3 linked regions of the Mus musculus genome follow. The protein of the gene in region 3 interacts with the protein of the main gene of each other region in a pairwise test. Links are inferred from orthologs where the notes say so. Each region holds a gene or a part of one and is shown on either strand. Other genes may lie near its edges.

Evidence for each region.
Region 1: the proteins of Fam161a (region 3) and Vps52 interact in binary tests that used the Homo sapiens proteins (3 or more experiments, as listed by UniProt). The link is inferred for Mus musculus from reciprocal best matches to the Homo sapiens genes FAM161A and VPS52.
Region 2: the proteins of Fam161a (region 3) and Cep63 interact in binary tests that used the Homo sapiens proteins (3 or more experiments, as listed by UniProt). The two-hybrid records come from large-scale screens. The link is inferred for Mus musculus from reciprocal best matches to the Homo sapiens genes FAM161A and CEP63.

The regions. Positions count from the first base shown.
Region 1 is NC_000083.6:33,962,175-33,965,902, reverse strand, and holds part of Vps52 (vacuolar protein sorting-associated protein 52 homolog), read right to left. Parts: coding exon 3,718-3,728; intron 3,488-3,717; exon of another isoform or gene 3,481-3,487; coding exon 3,357-3,480; coding exon of another isoform or gene 3,342-3,356; intron 3,178-3,341; coding exon 3,082-3,177; intron 2,994-3,081; coding exon 2,886-2,993; intron 2,726-2,885; coding exon 2,660-2,725; intron 623-2,659; coding exon 511-622; intron 243-510; coding exon 124-242; intron 1-123. UniProt on the Homo sapiens protein: Acts as a component of the GARP complex that is involved in retrograde transport from early and late endosomes to the trans-Golgi network (TGN).
Region 2 is NC_000075.6:102,623,443-102,627,042, reverse strand, and holds the start of Cep63 (centrosomal protein of 63 kDa), read left to right. Parts: upstream 1-918; 5' UTR 919-1,011; coding exon of another isoform or gene 1,012-1,061; coding exon 1,062-1,139; intron 1,140-1,145; exon of another isoform or gene 1,146-3,356; coding exon of another isoform or gene 3,357-3,449; coding exon 3,450-3,487; intron 3,488-3,600. UniProt on the Homo sapiens protein: Required for normal spindle assembly.
Region 3 is NC_000077.6:23,021,271-23,024,446, reverse strand, and holds the end of Fam161a (protein FAM161A), read right to left. Parts: intron 2,954-3,176; coding exon of another isoform or gene 2,786-2,953; exon of another isoform or gene 2,006-2,785; intron 1,018-2,005; coding exon 900-1,017; 3' UTR 705-899; downstream 1-704. UniProt on the Homo sapiens protein: Involved in ciliogenesis.

The sequences.
Region 1 (3,728 bases), on a different chromosome or scaffold from region 3:
CCAGAATCTCAGGCACAGATGCTTGTTGGCCTTCAAGGCGTTTGTGTGATGCGGAGCCCAGGGGAAAGAGCGAGGAAATAGACAACCTTAGGACACAGGCAAAGGGTGGGAGTGGCCGGTCACCTGGATGATGCTGGTTCCATTTCGGAAGTTGGTAAAACTTCGCATTACATCCTGACTCAGGGACTCCACTGATGCCTTCCAGGAACTACCAAAGCCACGGATCAGCTGAGTGACTCGGGCTGACCGCCAGAGGAAAAGGTGTGTCAGAGAGCTCCAGGTCTGGTTACCGTCCACCAGGCACAGAGCAACCAGGGCTGGTGACCCAGCAAGGCCTGCCCTGGGCACATCTGTGCTCACCATCAAGCCTGGCTTTCTTGGTGTTCTTCCAGCCAAGTCTTCCTTGCTGCGTTGCCTCCCCTGTGACTCCCCACTCCCACCCCCCCACCCCCTCCACCCCCGCTCACTGTCCCTAATTCCCACTACCTACTGCACCAGGACATCAGATACCTTCCTCCCCTCGGAGCCGCTCAGCCTGCCCACGCTCAATCAAGGCTTCAGCCTCCTTCACGAATGCCACCAGACCCCCGAAGGGGGGAGACAGCAGCTCCTCAATGAACTCCTAGAGAGAAGTGCAAGCACACACAGGGTCAGACTCCTGGGAGCAAAGGACCCCCATTCTGCACAGGGACGTCTAATGACCCGCCAGACAGCAGTCTCTGTGAGCCTTCCACCTTAGGTGGTGATGTCACAAGTTGCAGGGGATGTCCCCAAGGGTTTTCTCCAGAACCAAGATCCAGTATGCTGGCTCATCAGGGAACAGTGCTTTCCACTGGTCCCCAGAACACAAGGTCGAAGAAGCAAGAAAAGAAGTTGTGACCTAGAAGTTGTGACCTCTGACCTCCATGAGCTTCAGATGTGCCTGTGTGAGCTTACATGTGCACACACACAAACAGTTCCCTGCAAAGCAGAATGCACATACACACAGGGCTATAGTGCATGCACACACACACATACACACAGGGCTATAGTACATGCACAAACACACAAACATACACACAGGGCTATAGTACATGCACAAACACACAAACATACAGAGCTATAGTGCACACACACACATACACACAGGGCTATAGTGCATGCACACACATGTGGGAAGCCGCCCCCACATTCGCCGTCACAAGATGGCGCTGACATCCTGTGTTCTAAGTTGGTAAACAAATAATCTGCGCATGAGCCAAGGGTATTTACGACTACTTGTACTCTGTTTTTCCCGTGAACGTCAGCTCGGCCATGGGCTGCAGCCAATCAGGGAGTGATGCGTCCTAGGCAATTGTTGTTCTCTTTAAAGAGGGAAGGGGGTTTCGTTTTCTCTCTCTCTTGCTTCTTACACTCTGGCCCCATAAAGATGTAAGCAATAAAGCTTTGCCGTAGAAGATTCTGGTTGTTGTGTTCTTCCTGGCCGGTCGTGAGAACGCGTCGAATAACACACACACACATACACACAGGGCTACAGTGCATGCACACACACACACATACACACAGGGCTATAGTGCACACACACACATACACACAGGGCTATCGTGCATGCACACACACACATACACACAGGGCTATAGTACATGCACAAACACACAAACATACACACAGGGCTATAGTACATGCACAAACACACAAACATACAGAGCTATAGTGCACACACACACATACACACAAGGCTATAGTGCACACATACACACATACACACAAGGCTATAGTGCATGCACACACACACACATACACATAGGGCTATAGTACATGCACACACACACATATACACAGGGCTACAGTGCATGCACACACACACACATACACACAGGGCTATAGTGCATGCACACACACACATACACACAGGGCTATAGTGCATGCACACACACACATACACACAGGGCTACAGTGCATGCACACACACACACATACACACAGGGCTATAGTGCATGCACCCACACACACATACACACAGAGCTATAGTGCACACACACACATACACACAGGGCTATAGTGCATGCACACACACACATACACACAGGGCTATAATACATGCACACACACACAAACATACACACAGAGGTATAGTGCACACACACACATACACACAGGGCTATAGTGCATGCACACACACACATACACACAGGGCTATAGTGCACATACACTCAGGGCTATAGTGCACACACACACATACACACAAGGCTATAGTGCACACACACATATACACAGGGCTATAGTACACACACACACACACACATATACAGGGCTATAGTGCGCACACATACACACAGGGCTATAGTGGATGCACACACATACACAAAAGGCTATAGTGCACACACACATACACACAGGGCTATAGTGCATGCACACACATACACACAGGGCTATAGTGCACACACACACACATACACACAGGGCTATAGTACATGCACACACATGCATACATACATGTAGCTATAGTACACACACATGCATACATAAATAGGTATAGTTCTATGTTGCTTCTAAACTATTAGTACCTTGAAAAAGTTAAATGAAATAGACTAGCAACAAGGCAGTGGGTTGTACTCATGACTGCACACAGAGGTCAGTCCAACAGCATCGCAGTCTTCCTGCTGCACCCAGGCCCTACCTGTGTCCGAGCATTGAGCAGCTGCTGGAAACTTTCCACCTCTTTGCTGTCATCAGCAGCCCGCTCCTAAGGAAGACAAGAGGAGTCAGGAGCTTGGGAACCTTCACTGTTGCCATCACTTCCCCTTCTTTCCATGATGTGGACACTGCCAGCATCCAGGGGTAAAGCGCTGAGCTCAGGCAGAGCTCACAAGCTGTAGGGACCCCCGTGGGAGGAGCAGCATTACCATCAGCACCCCGAGCATCATGTCATAGTTGTTGATCAGAAACACAAGCTGCTCCTTCCTGGAGGAGAACTCTGCAGCCACTCGGAGGACAAAATTCTCCACCTCCACCTGCACAAGCCAAATGAAAGCAGCAGGTTAGAAAGCAAGGACACAGGTCCCGTCCCTCTGCTGGCAAATATGTCCTGCCTAGCTATACCTGGAGCTGTCCCAGGAGCTGCAGCGTGCGTTCATTGGGGATCGTCTGGTTGATGCTGACAAGTGCAGAGGAGAACTCAGCATAGCGGCGTGTGATCTGGGAGCAAGAAGGGAAGGCTCACACCTGCCTGACTGGGAGATACAACCCTCAGATACCCCTGCAAGTTCTGTCACCAGTCAGAACAGATGTTGTCTGCCTAAGTTGACTCCTTCGGCAGTACCCACCCACCACTCAGTGTGACCACAGACCCCCTTATTAACCTTGCTCGCCCTTACATAGTGGGGCCGAGTGTCCAGTCCCCCAAGGCGCTGGGGGTCAGTGCTGCGGACACTCTGGACATTCATCTCCAGGATCAGCTCAAACCGAGGCCACAGCAAGGCAAGCACCTGCTCCCAGTACCTGCAGGCTTAATCAGAATCAAAGGTCAGCTGGCTGGGGGTGCAGTCTGCCCAGGGGAGTACAGCACGCTTCAGGGTGACAGTGAGTGGGTGTGCCTGATGCCAATGCTGCCCCTGGGACACATGAATGGGAATAAGGGTGAAGGGCATCAGGTGAGGGCCCAGAGTCAGGATGGAACTGTTTTCGTAACATAAGAAGCTGACCACATCCAGACACCAAGGACCAGAGCTCAGTGACCTGTCCAGGGC
Region 2 (3,600 bases), on a different chromosome or scaffold from region 3:
CATGACTCTCTTCTACATGCTTAGAAACTAGCACGCTTTTCACCCACCCCCGTCCCTCATCACTTATGCTTGGCCGTCCTTCCAAACACATCTATTTTCCTGGGTCAGGTGCTCGGGTGCTCACCCTTTACGTAAACAGAAAGTTCCCCCGCTCCGGATACCAGATAATATCAAACTCTCAGCTCTCAGATTGTTTCCTTTAGACCCCAGGCTGAGTGCAGTCCCAAGGGTCCATTCCTTCACCAGTCCCCTAGATCTCTGGGCACAATACGTGACAACAGGAGGAAAGCTTGTCACATTGCCCGGATATCTCTTTCTAGACATTAGATGCGTACGTCCTATGAGACATACACACCTTTCATGCACACAGCTTTGTAAATGTATTTCTAAGCTACGAGCACGGCGCCTACACTAAAATGGCCCTCGGAGGCCACCATCCTGGGACACTACAGTCACCCGCTGCAGCGACTTCCGGTTCGAGGGGTGGGAGGATACTACATGCGGAAGTGCAAGGGGGGAGGTCGAGCGTCGCCATGGGGGCTCCGTTCCACTCCGCACAGCGTGCAGTAAAGAAGTGGCTCTGAAGCTCGGTTGAAAGTACCGGCCCGCGCCTCTGGAAGCGGTAGACGCCGGAGTTCGAGGGCGAACGCTTGGCCACCCTCGGAAACCCGGGCCGCGGGCGCGAAAAACCCTTACCCACTGCGCGCGCGTCGGCTTCCTCCCGGCCCCGCCCTTCTTCTGGGTCACGTGACTCGCGGCGCTCTCAAGCCCCGGATGTGGGTGAGTCCAAGCGCTGCGGCAGGGGGCGGGACGGACAGCGATTTGTTGTGACTTGCGCGCATCCCCGGCCGGAGGAACGGCGGGCAGGCCCGGGGGCGCGCTCCGCCGGAGGCGCGCTCTGCCGGGGGCGCGCTCTGTAACCGACCGCATGCCCCAAAGACGGGCGAGCTGCGGCTAACTGTGGTGCGGTCTCGGCCCTGGCCACGGTGGTGCCGCTAGGCTCCAGGCCTCATGGCCCGCGGCCGCAGCTCGTTGCGGCCCACCTGCCGCGGGGCTTTCCAATGCCGGGTTGCGGCTGCCCGGTCGTCGCGCCCCTGGGTTCCTCCTCCTCCCTATGGGACTCTGGGCTGGCCGGCCAGGTGCTTCGGCCTGCGGGAGGGCGGGCTGCGGGCTGTGGGCTGCATGGCTCCCGGGAAGGGACCCGGCTGCTGCTGCTGCCGCCGGTGTAGGACCAGGCCTTAGCGTTAGCCGCCCAGCGGGAAGCCCGCAGGGTTCCTTGGTGATGTTAGTATGAGAGGTGCGGAAATGTGGCGGGAACCCCTGATGGCAGGGGAATTGCAGATGGCTTCACGCTTTCAAGTCAAGCATAGGAAACAAGATTGGTGGAGTGAAAGTTTGGAAAGGGGAATTCCACAACAGCGCTTTCACGCGGAGACACTTGACAGTGAATGGGCTTTTGTCCTTTACAAAATCGTGGAGTTAGTGCATTCTGATGTCAGACCTAGTTTTCATTTACAGACTGTAGACTTGTTGCCAAAAGTGCTCCCCATTCTCCCCAACTAGCGCTGGCTCTCCTTTGTAGCTATGATCTGGAACTTGCAGTGTAGACCAGGCTGGCCTCAAACTCAGAGATGGGCCTACCTATGTCTCCTAATTAAGGATCCGCGCCACCTCGCCTGGCTTTCTTGAGGCCAATTTAGAGTTTCAAAAATGTATTACTTTATTATAGCTCTTTGTACAACTCGAATATTTGTATTTTATATTTTGTATGTAAGTCAGAGATCAATGGCTATAGTTATCTTTAGCTTTTTACACTTTTTTTTTTTGTTTTGTTTTTCGAGACAGGGTTTCTCTGTGTAGCCCTGGCTGTTCTGGAACTCACTCTGTAGACCAGGCTGTCCTCGAACTCAGAAATCCGCCTGCCTCTGCCTCCCGAGTGCTGGGATTAAAGGCGTGCGCCACCACGCCCGGCTTTTACACTTATTCTTAAAGGCTGCAGCTTAACGATATGATGAAACGAATTATCTTATTTGGAATGCAGCGCCATTTTTAGGTTAATTTTTGTCCCGTGCTCTCTGTCTTTTACTGTGTCGTCCTCAGTGGTCAGTATAGTAAAGGAGGCTGCGAAACTAAAGAGGGTTAGAGACTTAAACCACAGACACATGTCCCTTTAAAATGTGTATATGCTGAAGTTTCAGAAACAATGGAGATATTGTTAATCATGCTGCTGCTGCTTCCTCCCGTGGAGCGGTAGGGACCGGTTACTTAGGCTTTCCTGTACTGTGTGGTGGCTGATGGTGACAGCATTAGTCCACACTGTCATAGCTTAAGGTGCTCCCCATGCCAAAGGCTAGAGTTGCTTTTTTAAGTTTTACAAAAACCACAGTACTATTTTTACATCAGTACAAATTTATAAAAAGCACACAGTGTCAGTGTCCGGTGAGTTCAGGTTCTTCAGCTATTCCATATGTGCTTGTAATACCAAAGTTGTAGACTTGTAGACCAAAGTCCTACAGAGAACTGTCAGCTGCATTCGGTTGCTAGGCCTTCAAAACCCTCTAATCAATAATCAAAACCCTCAATTTCTTTCTTTCATATATATACATATATATTATATACATGTATTATATGTGTATATATGATATTTTCTTTATTTACATTTCAAATGTTATCCCCTTTCCTAGTTTCCCCTCTGAAAATCCCCTATTTCTCCCCCCCCCCCAAGCAGGTTCTTACCTCCCGTTTCTTTATCACTCAGGTTTAGCTGGTTGTATATATTTTTGAATTTATGCCTCTACCTCTTCTATGACCTCTCCTTCACTGGCTAAATCTTGAACTACACTATCCAGTGTGGCAGTCATCAGCCAGCCCTGACATTTTAAATGAACTGTTTGGTTCCCCAGATGCATTAGCCACATTGGAAATGCCCAGCACACACAGGCTGCCTAGTGGCTATTGTCTGATTAATACTGATAAGATGTTTCCATAATTACAGAAAGTTCTGTTGCAATACAATGATCTTTTGAAATACAGTGTTAGATTCAGCCTTGATTTTTGATGGCAGGTACAAGAAAACTCAAAGGTATAGGTTTTATATTATAAAAATTATCTGTTGCGTTCATTGTCAGGGAGACTTGTAATGTCTGAGTCACCCCACTAGGGATGTTAGAATTAAGCTGTGTATGTCGGGGTTCCTGTGCTGTTTGCTCAGTTGAGCCACCATGAAATTGCCCAAGAGCCTTTGGTCAATAGGGAGCTCTTCATGGCTAATAGTGCCTGGGCCGATTACTGAGTGAGAGCCACCGTGGTGCTTTCTAGTGGCGTCATGTGCCCAGTGCTGCTTAGCTGGCACTCTTATGATGAACTTGCCTTCCGCAGCTGACTATCCTGAAGTACAGTTTGTACAGGAATGGCAAGCAAAATGCTTAACTCCGTTCCTTTCTTTTCAGACTACAGCAATGAATTGGTGGCCTAGCAACCTCCAAAGGTAACCCAAGGGCTCCACCTTAAAACAAACAGATAGACTTGAATGTGTTTAAATCTGTGACGTAGCAACCTCCAAAAGTAACCCAAGGGCTTTATCTTAAAAACCAACCAACC
Region 3 (3,176 bases):
CAAAAATCAAGGTTGACACAAAGCACGGAGGGGCCTTATATACTGCTCTGTGGCTTACAAGTTCCTCTTTTGTGAAAGGATTAAGGGAAGCAGATCAGCGTGGGTTCTGATCCTAGCTTTACCATTTACTAACCATACACCTCACTACTCACCTCCTTTGAACTTGAGTCTTTCCATCTGTGATATGATTACCCACCCCCATCCTGAGGCAATACGACTGGGGAGGTTAATCATGAGACCCCCTTGAGATCACCATTGAACTTGGGAGTGAAAGGCCTCCACGGGAGGAAGGACCGTGCTAAGGAGGATGGTGAAGCAGAGAGATTTGCTTTGGTTTTTTAATGCTTTTAGGCCTTGAGATGGCTCAGTAGTTAAGAGCACTTATTTCTATAGAGGGCTTAGGTTCAATTCCCAGCACTCACATGGTAGCTCACAACTATAGTTCTACGGTATCCAATACCTCTGATGTCTGTGGGTAGAAATGCACATGGTGCCTACACAAAACACTCACACACAAGTAATCTAACTAAGTAACTAACGAAATACCCAATTTAAAGTGCTTTTAAGAGACGGTCTCACTATGTTGCATACAATGGTCATACACCCAGTGGTTGAATTCATAAAGACCTCCCCATGATATCCCGAAGCCTCAACAGAATCTGACTAAAAAGACCAGACTCTAAAGCAAACCGTGTCAGGAATGTCTTGAGGTACATGGGGTTAGTGACATGTTCTTTATTGAGCTACAAGCGTTGTCACATCTTAAGTGAAATTACTTTCTTGGTGGACTGGATGAAGCCGCCCCAGAAACATCATGTCTTGGCAACTGTAGGACACCGTAAGACGGAGCACAAAGGTGGAGGCCAGAAGTACTGAGAAACAGAAAGCTGGTGATGGCCCTAACCAATAAACACAACCTGGGTGACTCTTTCAAACAACATCGGCCTCTTCTGCAGTTTTTCCTCTTGTTCCTCCAGTTCTTGCCAATATTCTCTCATCCTGGCCTTTTCACTCCTTCTAGAACCAGATAAAGAGAGTGGCATTTTAAAGGTCAGCTACGGAAGCTCTCCTAGGACATTCACCTCAGAAGACAAACCAGGAAGTGAGAGCACAGCTCAGCCCAGTTCCTTTTCTAGACTGGCAAGATTTTCATAAATCCAGAATAAAAAGCCCAGGTTTTGAAGAAACACAGTGTACTGCCCTGGGAATGGTCTGGTCATTTTGATTTCCAAAGTCTTCAAGGCAAAAAGACTTCAGTCTTGCCTGAAAAAGTGTTTTATATAAAAGTATACAAAAGCAAGAAAGTCTGGTCCAAATGGGTATCTTAAAAAATATTCTTTCAAAAACAAGACCCTGAAACTGGTCAGTTGTGGCACAAACCTTTAGTCCCAAAACTCTGGGGCAGAAGCAGGCAGATATCCCAGTGTGGGACGAGCCTGGCCTACAGAGCTAGTTCTTAGGGCAGCCCAGGGTACACAGAGAAACCTTGTTTCAAACACCAAAATAAAAAGACCCTGCTTTTCTTCTTTCCCTAAATGAGATCACCTAGTGGGCAGTGGCAACATTAATTAAGTGGGAGTAGGTAAGAGAGAAAGTGGGGCTCATGAGAATGTAGCAACTGAGGGCAGAGCCAAAAGCATGAACCTCGCTGTGCTCATCCTCTGGACCAGATCCCACAATGAATTAAACTTCACTGTTTTTTTGTTTTGTTTTGTTTTGTTTTGTTTTGTTTTGTTTTCCTCTGTATAAGATATACTAGAAGCAACCAAGACAAGAGAGTTTCATGGGTACGGAAAATAATTATACTTTACAAAAATTATGCTTACTCAAAGTAAGTTGGTATTCAACTTCCTACAGGCAAATACTGTATTCCTAAGGAATTTTTTGCTCAAGTTCATCAAACTCGGCTCTATTAGTGGGCTGATCCTATACTGTAAAGGAAGGCTCAGTGATAAAATAGATGTACGTATTTGGATCTTAAAAGTTAATAAGTCATATTACTTACCCAGCTTTGGAGGGCCTTTTCTTGCTTAAGCATGACCATTTTTATGTGCAATGTTTGGAATGCTGGTTTTCAGACTCTGCTTTATAGAATTCTAGTAGTATTCTGTAAAGGACTGTAGGTGTTCTGTGGCTGCTATCAGTCATGAGGGGCAGCATGTACCCACCATGCATCCACTCAAACTGTTGTATTTGGTACAAACTTCGAACAGAACTCCCTGACTTATCCAGATCAGCCAGTCTGTGTACAAGATCCTGGCTTTGGTCCTCACATGCCCAGCCCCCAGCACCAGATGTATAATGTACATATGTATGTATGTATAATGTATGTATGCAATGCATGTATATATGCCAAATATTTACATAATTTATAAATAAGAACACACTTGCATAAATAAGGTTTTGTGCTGGTTTTTAAGCAATTACTAACTATGACCATAACAAAGCCATTTCTGTTCCACATGGTCTCATGGTTCTCGCTATGGAGGTAAGTAAATACACTGACTGTCATTATAAGATGTATATGTGTGCATATATGTAACAGTTGAGTAGGAACAGCCAAAGATTATTTAAATCCATAAATTAAGATGCCATAGTATTTTCATATCTAGGTATCCACTAGTTAAGCAGGAGGAAAGGAAAGGAAAGGAAAGGAAAGGAAAGGAAAGGAAAGGAAAGGAAAGGAAAGGAAAGGAAAGGAAAGGAAAGGGAAGGAAAGGAAAGGAAAGGGAAGGAAAGGGAGTTTGGCAGCTGATGTTGGCGTTCCCAGGCTCTTCCGTGGTACCTGAGCTCCTTCACCCTGGCTTTAACTATCTGAGACAAGCTCTGGTGGGAGCCATAAGCCTTAACCCGGGTTGCCAGCAGTTTCTGCAAGTCTTTCATTCTTTGCTTCTGTTTAGTTAGGATCCGATTTCTCTCTTCTTCCAACATTTTCTTTTCCTCAAGGGATTTCCTGAGGGCAACAAACTAAGGCTTAATTAATGCACTTTAAGCCAAGGAGGAAGTTGTCCAGCAAAGACTTAACAGGGCATAATTCAAAGGCTGGAAAAAAAAAAAAGCCACCTTTTGACCAAAATCTTAATTGTGACCTTGGAAATCCAAGCAAGGCTGATGGTGTAAGCTTATCTACCTATCATCCCCAAGGAAATCACATTTGTCTCTTAGAAGAACGTTCT